Ovis aries: one gene and its partners. The protein of the gene in region 3 binds, or shares a complex with, the protein of the main gene of each other region. Links are inferred from orthologs where the notes say so. Each region holds a gene or a part of one and is shown on either strand. Other genes may lie near its edges.

The links.
Region 1: PFDN6 (region 3) and DNAAF10 share a complex: the UniProt entries of both Homo sapiens proteins name them as parts of the PAQosome complex. The link is inferred for Ovis aries from reciprocal best matches to the Homo sapiens genes PFDN6 and DNAAF10.
Region 2: PFDN6 (region 3) and ASDURF share a complex: the UniProt entries of both Homo sapiens proteins name them as parts of the PAQosome complex. The link is inferred for Ovis aries from reciprocal best matches to the Homo sapiens genes PFDN6 and ASDURF.

Annotation. Positions count from the first base shown.
Region 1 is NC_056056.1:40,164,415-40,168,740, reverse strand, and holds the start of DNAAF10 (dynein axonemal assembly factor 10), read right to left. Parts: upstream 2,825-4,326; 5' UTR 2,726-2,824; coding exon 2,543-2,725; intron 1-2,542. Other genes in the region: RNA-binding protein PNO1, read left to right, coding at 3,249-3,455, 3,678-3,827. UniProt on the Homo sapiens protein: Key assembly factor specifically required for the stability of axonemal dynein heavy chains in cytoplasm.
Region 2 is NC_056055.1:119,676,047-119,680,161, forward strand, and holds the start of ASDURF (ASNSD1 upstream open reading frame protein), read right to left. Parts: upstream 2,874-4,115; 5' UTR 2,795-2,873; coding exon 2,705-2,794; intron 510-2,704; coding exon 456-509; intron 1-455.
Region 3 is NC_056073.1:7,615,338-7,618,692, reverse strand, and holds PFDN6 (prefoldin subunit 6), read right to left. Parts: upstream 1,931-3,355; 5' UTR 1,899-1,930; exon of another isoform or gene 1,839-1,898; intron 1,758-1,838; 5' UTR 1,676-1,757; coding exon 1,612-1,675; intron 1,372-1,611; coding exon 1,301-1,371; intron 1,223-1,300; coding exon 1,098-1,222; intron 848-1,097; coding exon 718-847; 3' UTR 638-717; downstream 1-637. Other genes in the region: WDR46 (WD repeat-containing protein 46), read left to right, coding at 2,335-2,403, 2,503-2,697, 2,807-2,887, 3,020-3,132, 3,257-3,344. UniProt on the Homo sapiens protein: Binds specifically to cytosolic chaperonin (c-CPN) and transfers target proteins to it. Binds to nascent polypeptide chain and promotes folding in an environment in which there are many competing pathways for nonnative proteins.

The DNA of each region.
Region 1 (4,326 bases), on a different chromosome or scaffold from region 3:
GGGATTCTCCAGGCAAGAACACTGGAGTGGGTTGCCATTTCCTTCTCCAATGCATGAAAGTGAAAAGTGAAAATGAAGTCACTCAGTCGTGTCCGACTCCCAGCGACCCCATGGACTGCAGCCTACCAGGCTCCTCCGTCCATGGGATTTTCCAGGCAAGAGTCCTGGAGTGCTCTAAAGGCATTTAAAAACTAGTAAACAGATATAAAAATGTTAGTTAATATCCTTATTCTCCAATTCTTCCATTAGTGTAATCTTTACAAAACTTGTAAACCTAACCTTGCCACACCCTGCATAAAGCCCTTCACTGAAGTCCCATTTTTCTTACAAAAACAGGCACAAATCTTTTAAATGATCTACAGCATTTGCAAGGCCTCCTCTCTGCTGTTTTGTTCCAAAAGGAGATAATCTCTCTCCCTCATTGCTGAGCTGTTTCCTCTTGGAAATCTCAACTCCTAATTTGACCTACTTAGCTTTTACTCAATGCAAATCTGGTTTTCTGGTTTTGTTTTTACTCTCATAGAACCATGTGCCTTTACATTAGAGAATTCATCTCAGTTTGTGTTTTATGTATTGTTAGTTTGATTATTTAATTGATTCTCTCTCCCACTAGGAAAAAAAAACTCCATAGTAATCAGGGACATTGTCTGTCATTTACTAGCTGGAGAATACCAGGCAATCAACTGACACTTGTTGAAAGAATAATTGTTTTGGATTGTCTCCTCCAATTACATAGTAGGCATCCTAGTGCCTGCTTTGGCTCTGCTTGTATGACCAAGTATTTTACTATCTTGGACCCATTAAAAGACTCTCCACAGATAAAGAACTAATCTCAAAAATATACAAGCAACTCTTGCAGCTCAATTCCAGAAAAATAAACGACCCAATCAAAAAATGGGCCAAAGAACTAAACAGACATTTTTCCAAAGAAGACATACAGATGGCTAACAAACACATGAAAAGATGCTCAACATCACTCATTATCAGAGAAATGTAAATCAAAACCACAATGAGGTACCATTTCACGCCAGTCAGAATGGCTGCGATCCAAAAGTCTATAAGCAATAAATGCTGGAGAAGGTGTGGAGAAAAGGGAACCCTCTTACACTGTTGGTGGGAATGCAAACTAGTACAGCCACTATGGAGAACAGTGTGGAGATTCCTTAAAAAACTGGAAATAGAACTGCCTTCTGGTACTGCTAAGTCGCTTCAGTCGTGTCCAACTCTGTGTGACCCCATAGATGGAAGCCCACCAGGCTCCCCCATCCCTGGGATTCTCCAGGCAAGAACACTGGAGTGGGTTGCCATTTCCTTCTCCAATGCATGAAAGTGAAAAGTGAAAGGGAAGTCGCTCAGTTGTGTCCCACACTTCTCGACCCCATGGACTGCAGCCTTCCAGGCTTCTCCACCCATGGGATTTTCCAGGCAAGAGTACTGGAGCGGGGTGCCACTGCCTTCTCCAAGAACTGCCTTATGACCCAGCAATCCCACTGCTGGGCATACACACCGAGGAAACCAGAATTGAAAGAGACACGTGTACCCCAATGTTCATCGCAGCACTGTTTATAATAGCCAGGACATGGAAGCAACCTAGATGTCCATCAGCAGATGAATGGATAAGAAAGCTGTGGTACATATACACAATGGAGTATTACTCAGCCATTAAAAAGAATACATTTGAATCAGTTCTGATAAGGTGGATGAAACTGGAGCCTATTATACACAGTGAAGTAAGCCGGAAAGAAAAACATCAATACAGTATACTAACGCATATATATGGAATTTAGAAAGATGGTAACGATAACTCTGTATGCGAGACAGCAAGAGACACAGATGTATAGAACAGTCTTTTGGACTCTGTGGGAGAGGGAGAGGGTGGGATGATTTGGGAGAATGGCATTGAAAGATGTATAATATCATATATGAAACGAATCGCCAGTCCAGGTTCCATGCATGATACAGGATGCTTGGGGCTAGTGCACTGGGATGACCGAGAGGGATGGTACGGGGAGGGAGGTGGGAGGGGGGTTCAGGATGGGGAACACGTGTACACCCGTGGCGGATTCATGTTGATGTATGGCAAAACCAATACAATATTGTAAAGTAATTAGCCTCTAATTAAAATAAATAAATTTATATTAAAAATAACATTCAAAAAATAAAAAGAAAAAAAGACTCTCCACAAACAAATGCGCACTGCCCAGAAACGCCTCGAATTTAAACGTGAAGTTATAACGTCACCTCCAGGGACCTCGCACTGGACTGGGAGAAGGGTGGGGATGGCTGGAGGAAGGGACCAGCAAAGCAGGAATGAATTAGCCCGATGAGAATTCAGGTCTCGAACGAAAGCGTTTTACGTCGGAATTATTCCTCAGTCTGCGGTCAGATTCGCTACTCCCGCGCAGTTTCAGCACCGCTTTGGGGGGACGCTGGACAAAGGCTTTGGCAAAAAGGAACGCAGAACTCCCGCCCCCAAGATCCGCACTCCCCTCCAGGAGCAGTCCCAGATTTTGGAACTGGGAGGTCTCGACCCGGCACCCACCTCCCGCAGCAGCTTTAGGTCCCCTTGCTGGATCTCGTACAGCTGAATGACGCCGGTGCCCCGTGCGAAGTTGCCCATGGTCACAAATTTGGCGCTGCAGGGCATCCACTTACAGTCAAACACCGTGTAATTGAGGCTCTTCTGGATATGCGAGATGATCTGAGGCTTCTCAAAGGCCGACATGGTCCAGCCGAGAGATTTCGCCTCCGCCAAGCGGGACACAGCCAACAAACCCTGACGAAACAAACCTGGAAACCAGAGTCCAAACGTTACGGATAGTTTGTCCCTCCCGCCTGCCGTAGGCGCCCCTAGAAACCTAACAAGCAGTTTTAGGTTTCTCAGATAATGCCGGATGCTCTAGTGCAGGCCCACAAGAGTTTCCTTCCCCAACAACACAAACTTGTTATGGCTTTACCTAGTGCCTTTCGTACAGATACAGATTATGGGTTATAAAGCGCGCTGACTGCGAGAGGTGTGGGCAGAGGGCGAACCTAAGAATCAGGCATATTTTAGGACAGCCCTCCCTCCTCACCAACAAACACGCAGAAACTCCCGCTTTAGGTCCCCCGCATGGGACGTCTTAGGAAAGAGGGCGGAGCCCTGGGGCTGGTTGGCGGAGGTTGGGGGCCTGTGAGGCGCGCCTGCGCGGTACAGCCTCGCACGTGTTGAAGCTGGAAGCTGAGGTTGGGGCTGGAGGCTCTGGAGAATGGAAAGCGTGATGGAGGCACAGAGCCCGTTGGCCGAGGACGGCTTCAGTCAGGTCACCCGCAAAGGTGGCCGGCGGGCGAAGAAACGGCAGGCTGAGCAGCCGTCCACGCCGGAGGAGGGAGGCGACGCGACCTGCATGGACACCGAGGAAGCTCGACCCGCTAAGAGGCCCGTCTTCCCGCCCCTCTCCGGGGACGGGTTCCTGGTACTGGCTGGGACCGAGGAACAGGAACGGGGCTGGGGCCAGAGACGGGTCGGCCCGGTGGCCTCTGGGTGATGACGCTTTTTCTGGAGTGAAGCTCAGAGCGGCGACTCTCCTGGTGTTTAATCTGTCCAATTAAAGGAGGCTTTTTGAGGATCAGTTGTCGTTACAACTTCACCCTCATTCCTTTAAACAACTGCTGAGTTGTGTTTTCTTTTGTCGTAGAATGGGAAAGAAGAAACCAGGAAAATTCCAGTCCCAGCTAACAGATACACGCCACTAAAAGAGAACTGGCTGAAGATATTTACTCCTATTGTGGAGCATTTGGGACTTCAGATACGCTTTAACTTGAAATCGAGGAATGTTGAAATCAGAGTAAGGAGACTATTAACCACTTTAAAATATGCCGAGGTTTTTCTGTCCTAGGAAGAAAGAACAGACTTTCTAGGAATTCTTAGTGGGACTTACCTTGTTGAATGAGTTTCTTCCAGTTTGACCTGAAACTAAACTAAACTACCAGCTGCGTTTCAGCACATTTTAAAGTGTTCTGTGTTGATTGATTAAAGGGTTAATAAAGAGGTTATCGTCAATAGAAGTATGTAAATGAGCAGCCGAAGTACTTGCTGTAGTACAGATACTATATTTTAGTGTTACTTTTTAGGAAAAAATAAGTTTTGAGAGTAAGTGTAAATTACGTAAAAATATTTGTTTATTCATTCCATGATGTCAGTCTAGGAGGTGGACAATTAAAATTAATAGATGGGGTTTTTTTTCCTGTGGATTCCAATTGTGCATTCGAATCAGTGACCAAAATTAATTATATCTTCCATTTTAAGGATTCATTATCAGGGTTGTTATAGACTTATTTCTGTTG
Region 2 (4,115 bases), on a different chromosome or scaffold from region 3:
TTTAAAACACAATGTTTGGCAGTATAATGACACACTAAGCAGAAGCTTGCTTATCTATAAATACATTAATGAAAATGGAGTTAAATAACCACGTTAAGGATTTGGAAGCTTGGAGTAAAAACCTGAGGAGGTAGGGAGAGGAGGTGGTAGCATTTATCTTTTTTAAAAAATAAACAAACAAAAAATAATTATCCACATTCACTTGTATAGCTTCTCCTCTTCTCAACAGATTCAATGTTTATGTCAAAAGAATACACCAAATTCAAGTACAAAATAAATACCATTATTGACTAAAGCTCCAGGATAACATAGTACAATCAGTATCATTTGATTCGCAGGTAATGTCAATTGCATATGTTGGGGAAAGATTATCAGCAACTATGATTAATACATAGATTTATACAGTTGATATCAAATCCTCCCACATAGTATTCAGAGTAATGCTAATAACTCACCCTGTTCTTCTTCAGGTTAGAAAGTTCATCCACAACAACTTTTTGTTCTTTAATCTATTGAAATAAAGAAAACGTACTAAATCAGAGATTATCAAAGCATGCTCAATAAGAGCCCGTACTCTTGCCTGGAAAATCCCATGGACAGAGGAGCCTGGTAGGCTGCAGTCCATGGGGTCACTAAGAGTTGGCCACGACTGAACGACTTCACTTTCACTTTTCACTTTCATGCACTGGAGAAGGAAATAGCTACCCACTCCAGTGTTCTTGCCTGGAGAACCCCAGGGATGGGGGAGCCTGGTGGGCTGCCATCTATGGGGTTGCACCGAGTCGGACACGACTGAAGTGACTTAGCAGTAGCAGGGCTCAACTAAATGGAAACTAAATTTCTTTTAAACTCTTTTCAGTAATGATAGTGATACTGCAAACATGATTGATTACACAGTGTCACCATAGCCTCTAAACAGTGTTATTTTGTAACCTCTGATGCCTGGGGATCTGTCATACATCAGTATAAGTGGCATGCTGCTGCTGCTAAGTCGCTTCAGTCGTGTCCCATCCTGTGCGACCCCAGAGATGGCAGCCCACCAGGCACCGCCGTCCCTGGGATTCTCCAGGCAAGAACACTGGAGTGGGTTGCCATTTCCTTCTCCAATGCATGAAAGTGAAAAGTGAAAGAAGTCGCTTAGTCGTGTCCGACTCTTTGCAACCCCATGGAGGAGCCCACCAGGCAAGAGTAAAGGGCATGCTATGGTAGGAATCAGAGCAGGCTGTGTGCAGTCTGAAAATTCATTCCCCACAGATGTGTACCCTTCTGCTTTCCAGCTGCCAGTCACTGTAGTGACTGATTACAGAGATTGAGTTGAATTCCAAGACTGAATTTGTACAACTTCCTTTTAAGGCTTATGTTTGAATAGCACTTTCCCATTCATTTTAGGAATGGTAGGTATACTTTAGAACTTCAGACAAGGAAACTGTAACAGAGGAATCAGAGATGTGCCCAAGATGCCAGTGTCAGTTTGGGACAGAACCAAAGTATTATCTTAGACATCTATTACCTGAAAGATTATAGCCATCCTCATTTCAAATGTTAAAAAAATTTTTTTTCTTTTTTCCATTTATGGCCTTATATTGGCTCCCTTTTGTGAGGGGAGGAGCAGAAGAGCAACAATGAAATAACATTTTTAGGAGCATGCTGCTGCTGCTACTGCTAGGTCGCTTCAGTCGTGTCCGACTCTGTGAGACCCCAGAGACGGCAGCCCACTAGGCTCCCCCATCCCTGGGATTCTCCAGGCAAGAACGCTGGAGTGGGTTGCCATTTCCTTCTCCAATGCATTAAAGTGAAAAGTGAAAGTGAAGTTGCTCAGTCCTGTCTGACTCTTAGCGACCCCATGGACTGCAGCCCACCAGGCTCCTCCATCCATGGGATTTTCCAGGTAAGAGTACTGGAGTGGGGTGCCACTGCCTTCTCCGCTCCAGCTAAATGAAGGATAGGGGAGAAGAAGGCAACAATGGCTAAGGAGAGACCAGTTAGGAAACTTTTGCAGGATTCCCTATGGCACATGCAAGGGGCGGGTTTAAGATGGTTAAAAGTGTACACAGTGATAAAGGGACACCTTACAAAGGACAGAACTTCGTGACGGATGCAAAGATGGGCTCCCAGGTTACTGGCATGGACAACTGCATGGATGGCGCTGACATTTTCTGAGACCGCAGGCAGCAGATCTAGGGTGGGAGGTAATTTCTAAAAGTTTTAACTAAGAATACATAGAAAAAAATCCAACCGTGAATCTCAAAGACATTAAGCTTGGAGAGGCATAAGCTGTGATTTCACTACATGATGTGCTGGGAAGGATAAAACTGTCCTGATGTAGAGCAGATCAGGGACGGCCAGAGGTTCTGGGCGGGGGAGAGCATGCCTATAAAGGGAGTCTTTCAGGGTCGTGGAACTTGTCTATATTCCAATTGTGGCGGTGGTCACACAAATTTAGACACGTGTTAAATACAGAGAAAACGAAAAAGAGCCAAATTTTACTGTATGATACTTTAAAATATGTTAAAAATTGATAAAATAAAACCAACTAAACTTCCGCCTTACTACCATCTGGGTCTAATCTCGGGGCAAGTTTCAAGGTGTCCCTTTAACTGTGCCTCTCGCAGCAGGGCAAAGTCGAGACTAGAGCACGCGGCCACCGAGGCTCGTCTCCGGCGGTGAGCAGCCCGAGGGCCATGTTACCTCGTCCCGCACTCACCTTGCTGCTGAGCTCGTCCTTGTGCAGGGTCGAGCTCTCAGCAGGGACGGGCCCAGCGCCGTCCTCGGGTCGCTCACCCCGGCTGGGCATCTCCGCGGAGAAGCAAACAGGCAGGGCGCGAGGCCGGGCGGCACCCCAGCAGTTCCGCGTCCGCAGCCCCTGCGCGTCTGCGCTCCCCGCGGCCCAGCCCCTCCCTTTCAATTTCCGGTGAGTCCTATCAACGGCGTCTGCGTGCTCACTGGAACGCCTGCGCAGGCCGGATCTGGGCTAGGAGTACTCGCGCGCGTGCGCACAAGTTAGGGGCCCGAACGGACCCTAGCGGTTGGGATGTTGAAACGCTCTTTACCCTGTGGCATCTAGTAGACTGTAAATTATATGCGCCCCCTAGTGGTGACTATGAAGAATAGAAGCTCAGTAGAAACACCGCTTAATATTTATTATCTAGGAAAAAACCAAGGTTATCACGATGGTATGATCACTCACCTAGAGCCAGACATCCTGGAATGTGAAGTCAAGTGGGCCTTAGAAAGCATCACTGCGAAAAAGCTAGTGGAGGTGATGGCATTCCAGTTGAGCTATCTCAAATCCTGAAAGATGATGCTGTGAAAGTGATGCACTTAATATGCCAGCAAATTTGGAGAACTCAGCAGTGGCCACAGGACTGGAAAAGGTCAGTTTTCATTCCAATCCCAAAGAAAGGCAATGCCAAAGAATGCTCAAATTACCACACAATTGCACTCATCTCACACGCTTAAAATTCTCCAAGCCAGGCTTCAGCAATACATGAACCGTGAACTTCCAGATGTTCAAGCTGGTATTAGAAAAGGTAGAGGAACCAGAGATCAAATTGCCAACATCCGCTGGATCACTGAAAAAACAAGAGAGTTCCAGGAAACCATCTATTTCTGCTTTATTGACTATGCCAAAGCCTCTCTGTGGATCACAGTAAACTGGAAAATTCTTCAAGAGATGGGAATACAGACCACCTGACCTGCCTCTTGAGAAACCTATATGCAGGTCAGGAAGCAACAATTAGAACTGGACATGGAACAACAGACTTGTTCTAAATAGGAAAAGGAGTACATCAAGGCTGTATATTGTCACCCTGCTTATTTAACTTCTATGCAGAGTACATCATGAGAAATGCTGGACTGGAAGAAGCACAAGCTGGAATAGATTCCCGGGAGAAATATCAATAACCTCAGATATGCAGATGACACCACCCTTATGGCAGAAAGTGAAGAGGAACTCAAAAGCCTCTTGATGAAAGTGAAAGAGGACAGTGAAAAAGTTGGCTTAAAGCTCAACATTCAGAAAACGAAGATCATGGCATCTGGTCCCATCACTTCCCACTTCATGGGAAATAGATGGGGAAAGAGTGGAAACAGTGTCAGACTTTATTTTGGGGGGC
Region 3 (3,355 bases):
GGCTCTTTCGTTTTTCTCCTCAGTTGTTACACACCCACGTCAAGTACCCAATTAAAGCCATCAGTATGAAAAACACCCTTGGCTCTGAATTCCTAAGACAATGTTAGGACAAAGAAATGGAAGAACCACTTCGTGGACAATGTACAAACTTGGAGGTCTCAGAATATCACAATGCATTATGTGCTGGGATATGAAATCCAATTTAAGCTACATTTAAACAAAGTCTAGGAAGAAAAGAGACTAAAAAGAACTAAGATGCCAGGGCTATTCTGAGGATGACAAGAAATCATAGCAAAAGAGGATTACCATGTTCCATTCTGGGACTGCAGGTTAGAGAATTGTGAGTTTTTCAATGAAACTTAACTTTCCCCCAAATTGTTTCACTGTCAATGCCCTTTTCTTGGTTGCTTCCAATCAAGAGAAGAGAGAGTTAAGGCTTGCATGTACAGGCAAGGATTAGGTTTGAGACATTTCGGAGTTTAGTCTCAAGAAAGAAGGGTTACTCTGCCACACACAAATTTCAGTGCACAAATTTGGATCTAAGAGAGTAATGCAGGTGATATAGGGGTGAGGGAGAAGGGACCAGAGGAAAGGATGGAGACAGTTACAACAGAAGTGGCTGGTCAGAACACGCCAGGTATTTTCACATTTTATTAGCTACAGTATAGACCCTAGAGCTGCCGCATTCCTCCCCCCGCCCACCCCCCCAGGACAGGGTCAGGCTTTCCCAGGAGCCCCTGCCTTTGCCGCCTGCGCCCTCTGAAACTCCTGCTGCAGCTGAGCCAGGGTCTCCCTCTGTTGTTCTGACTGCTGCTCTAGGTCTCGGAGCTGGGATTCATACCGCTTACTGAGGAAGGGCAAAAAAGCAAATGAGAAATTAGTGAGACTTACTCTTGAGGGTGCTGAAGACAAGATTGGTCAGAAACTTGAGCTCTAAGGGGAGTATGAAGAAAAGGGAAGGAGTTGAAGGACACAGGAAGGAGTTGAAGAACCTGCTCAAATGGGGGCTGCTCTGGAGAATGACTCTAGAAAGGTTTCTCAGCACCTTTATTCCCAACGGATCAAGTATAACACAGTGGGGTGGAAGGAAGACTCACATCTCAGCTGTGATGTAGTCCAGCCTTTTCCCCACTGTGGCCCGAGCTTCCCCCAGCTCCTGTTTGACCAACACGGGCCCCAGAAGTTTAAACACCACGTTGGACCCATCCAGCAGGGCCAGTTCCTGGTGGAGGAGTGGGAAAAACATCAGAATCACTTCCAAGACAGGTCCCCCCTCGCCCCACAAATCTCAGTCTCTCACCTCCTTCACGATATTATTTTCTGTTAGTTGTGCCTCTAGTTTCTGCCTCCCTGACATGGATTTACTCAAGTCTGCCGGATGAAAAGGTTTGTTTAGAGACATCTCATGTGCCACCCGACCACCACAGTCCTGGTAAGAAGGCGGAGCTGAGGAAGCAGGCAAGGATGAGCAGGCGGGACAGGGAATGGGAAGACTACAGAGAAGGGGAAGGAGCCGCAGGCTGGGGCCAGAGGTGGGACAGAATACATTATTCGGGTATAGACAGGTTGTGAGTGAATTGCCGCGAGGTCACCCCTACCCTGCTCCCTTACCCTTCTGCAGCTGTTGATATTTCTCCACTTCCCCCTGCAGCTTCTTCTGGATTAGCTCAGCCATGGCGGGGACGAAAGCCTGCGGGCAGCGGGAGAGGGGCGCTGGGTCTCACGCTCTGGAAGGTACCCGGGCTCCCCTTTCTGGCCTGCGGAGGTGACAGCCCTCTTGAGAGGCAGCCCCTCGGGCCACCCACTGCAGTCTCTCCTGGTCCGGGATATCGACTCACCCCCAGCCTCAGGGAGTGGCAGTACCCCGAACTCCTCAGCCGAACCGCTCCCCTACTCACGCTCTCACTTCAGTATTGGTGAACCCGGAAGTAAATAGAGAATGCTGGGGAAAGACGGCACCGGAAGCTGTGAGCCGGCGCACGCCGGGAAATGTAGTTCTAATATGGTCAATGTGTGGCGTTCTGCTAAAAAGACCAGAAGCGGAAGGATTTAAGGCAAGATGGAGAAACCGAGATGGGAAAAGAAACTGCAGGGTTGCTTGGGTCTTGGCCTCGGACTGCCCGTCTTTCATCACTTGGGCATAAGTTGCCGCACTGGGGGCCTTGGTCCCGCCCCTCAGTGGGGAGCGCGCCCTCATTAAAGATGGCGCCTAGGAGGCTTCAGACCTGGAACGGCGCTGATTGGATGAGTCTCGGAGGACTTCCGGGAGTTTTCCATCACACTGTGGGACTGTGGAGAGGAGTTTGCACGTGGATCGTGGTTCGAGTGGGCTAGATGGAGACAGTCCCCAAGCCGGGCAGTAATGTTCCACCCAAGAAGGACAGACTGCAAGCCAAGAAGAAGGTAGGGATCTCCTTGGGGTGGAAAGGAAGTTTTTATTTGCGGGGTTCGAGGGGCGGGGCGAAGGGCAGCGGAATACGAGGGATCCTGCTCTGTTGGTAGAAACCGCGGCGATACTGGGAGCAAGAGACCACTGGGACTGCGGCCGGAGCTTCTCCAGGTCCCCCTCATAAACGGAAGAGGAGTCGAGAGCTCCGCCCCCAGAAGCCAAAGAGAAATGACACCTCAAAGAAGTTTCGGATCTCCAAGAAACCCCGAGAACTGAAGAGTCCGGGGCCTCAGCGGACCTTTTCTGGGGTGAGCCTGGGACCTCCCGGGGTGCCGAGGCAAGTCGCCTTGTGCTTTCAGGGTCGGGGGGTTGGGGTCAGCTCGAGCCTGTTTCTTAATTGCCTCCTCCCTGCCGCAGGCCCAGGACCCATTTGCAGGCCCCGCCCCTGTCAGTGTGGAGGTGGTTCGGAAGTACTGTCGCATTGACAAATCCAAGGAGGTGAGGGCTAGTCGGAGAGTGGGGAGCGGTTGCAGGAGGGAGTGTCTGGGTGAGTTGAATGGAGGCGGGGCTCTCCTGTGACCCCCGCATCCCTTGGTCCTTCTCTCACTTCATCTCTCACCGCTGTTTTAGCTACCACATGCGAAGACCAAGACACGAAGCCGACTTGCGGTGGCTGAAGCACAAGAAGAGGAAACAAGTGTCAGAGCTGCTCGATCTGAGCTTCTGCTTGCTGAAGAACCTGGGTGAGTGGACCCTGATGTGGGCCTCCCCAATCCCTGATTTATGGGGCTCTAATTTCTGATTGTGATGCTGGGATACCCACTTCTTATTAGGAAGCTTTAATGCAACTCTCACGCTCACTTGCAGGTTTCTGGAAGGAGAGGATGGGGAGGACACGGCAAAGATTCGCCAGGCTGACATCGTGGAGGCTGTGGACATTGCGAGTGCAGCCAAAGTGAGTCTGAG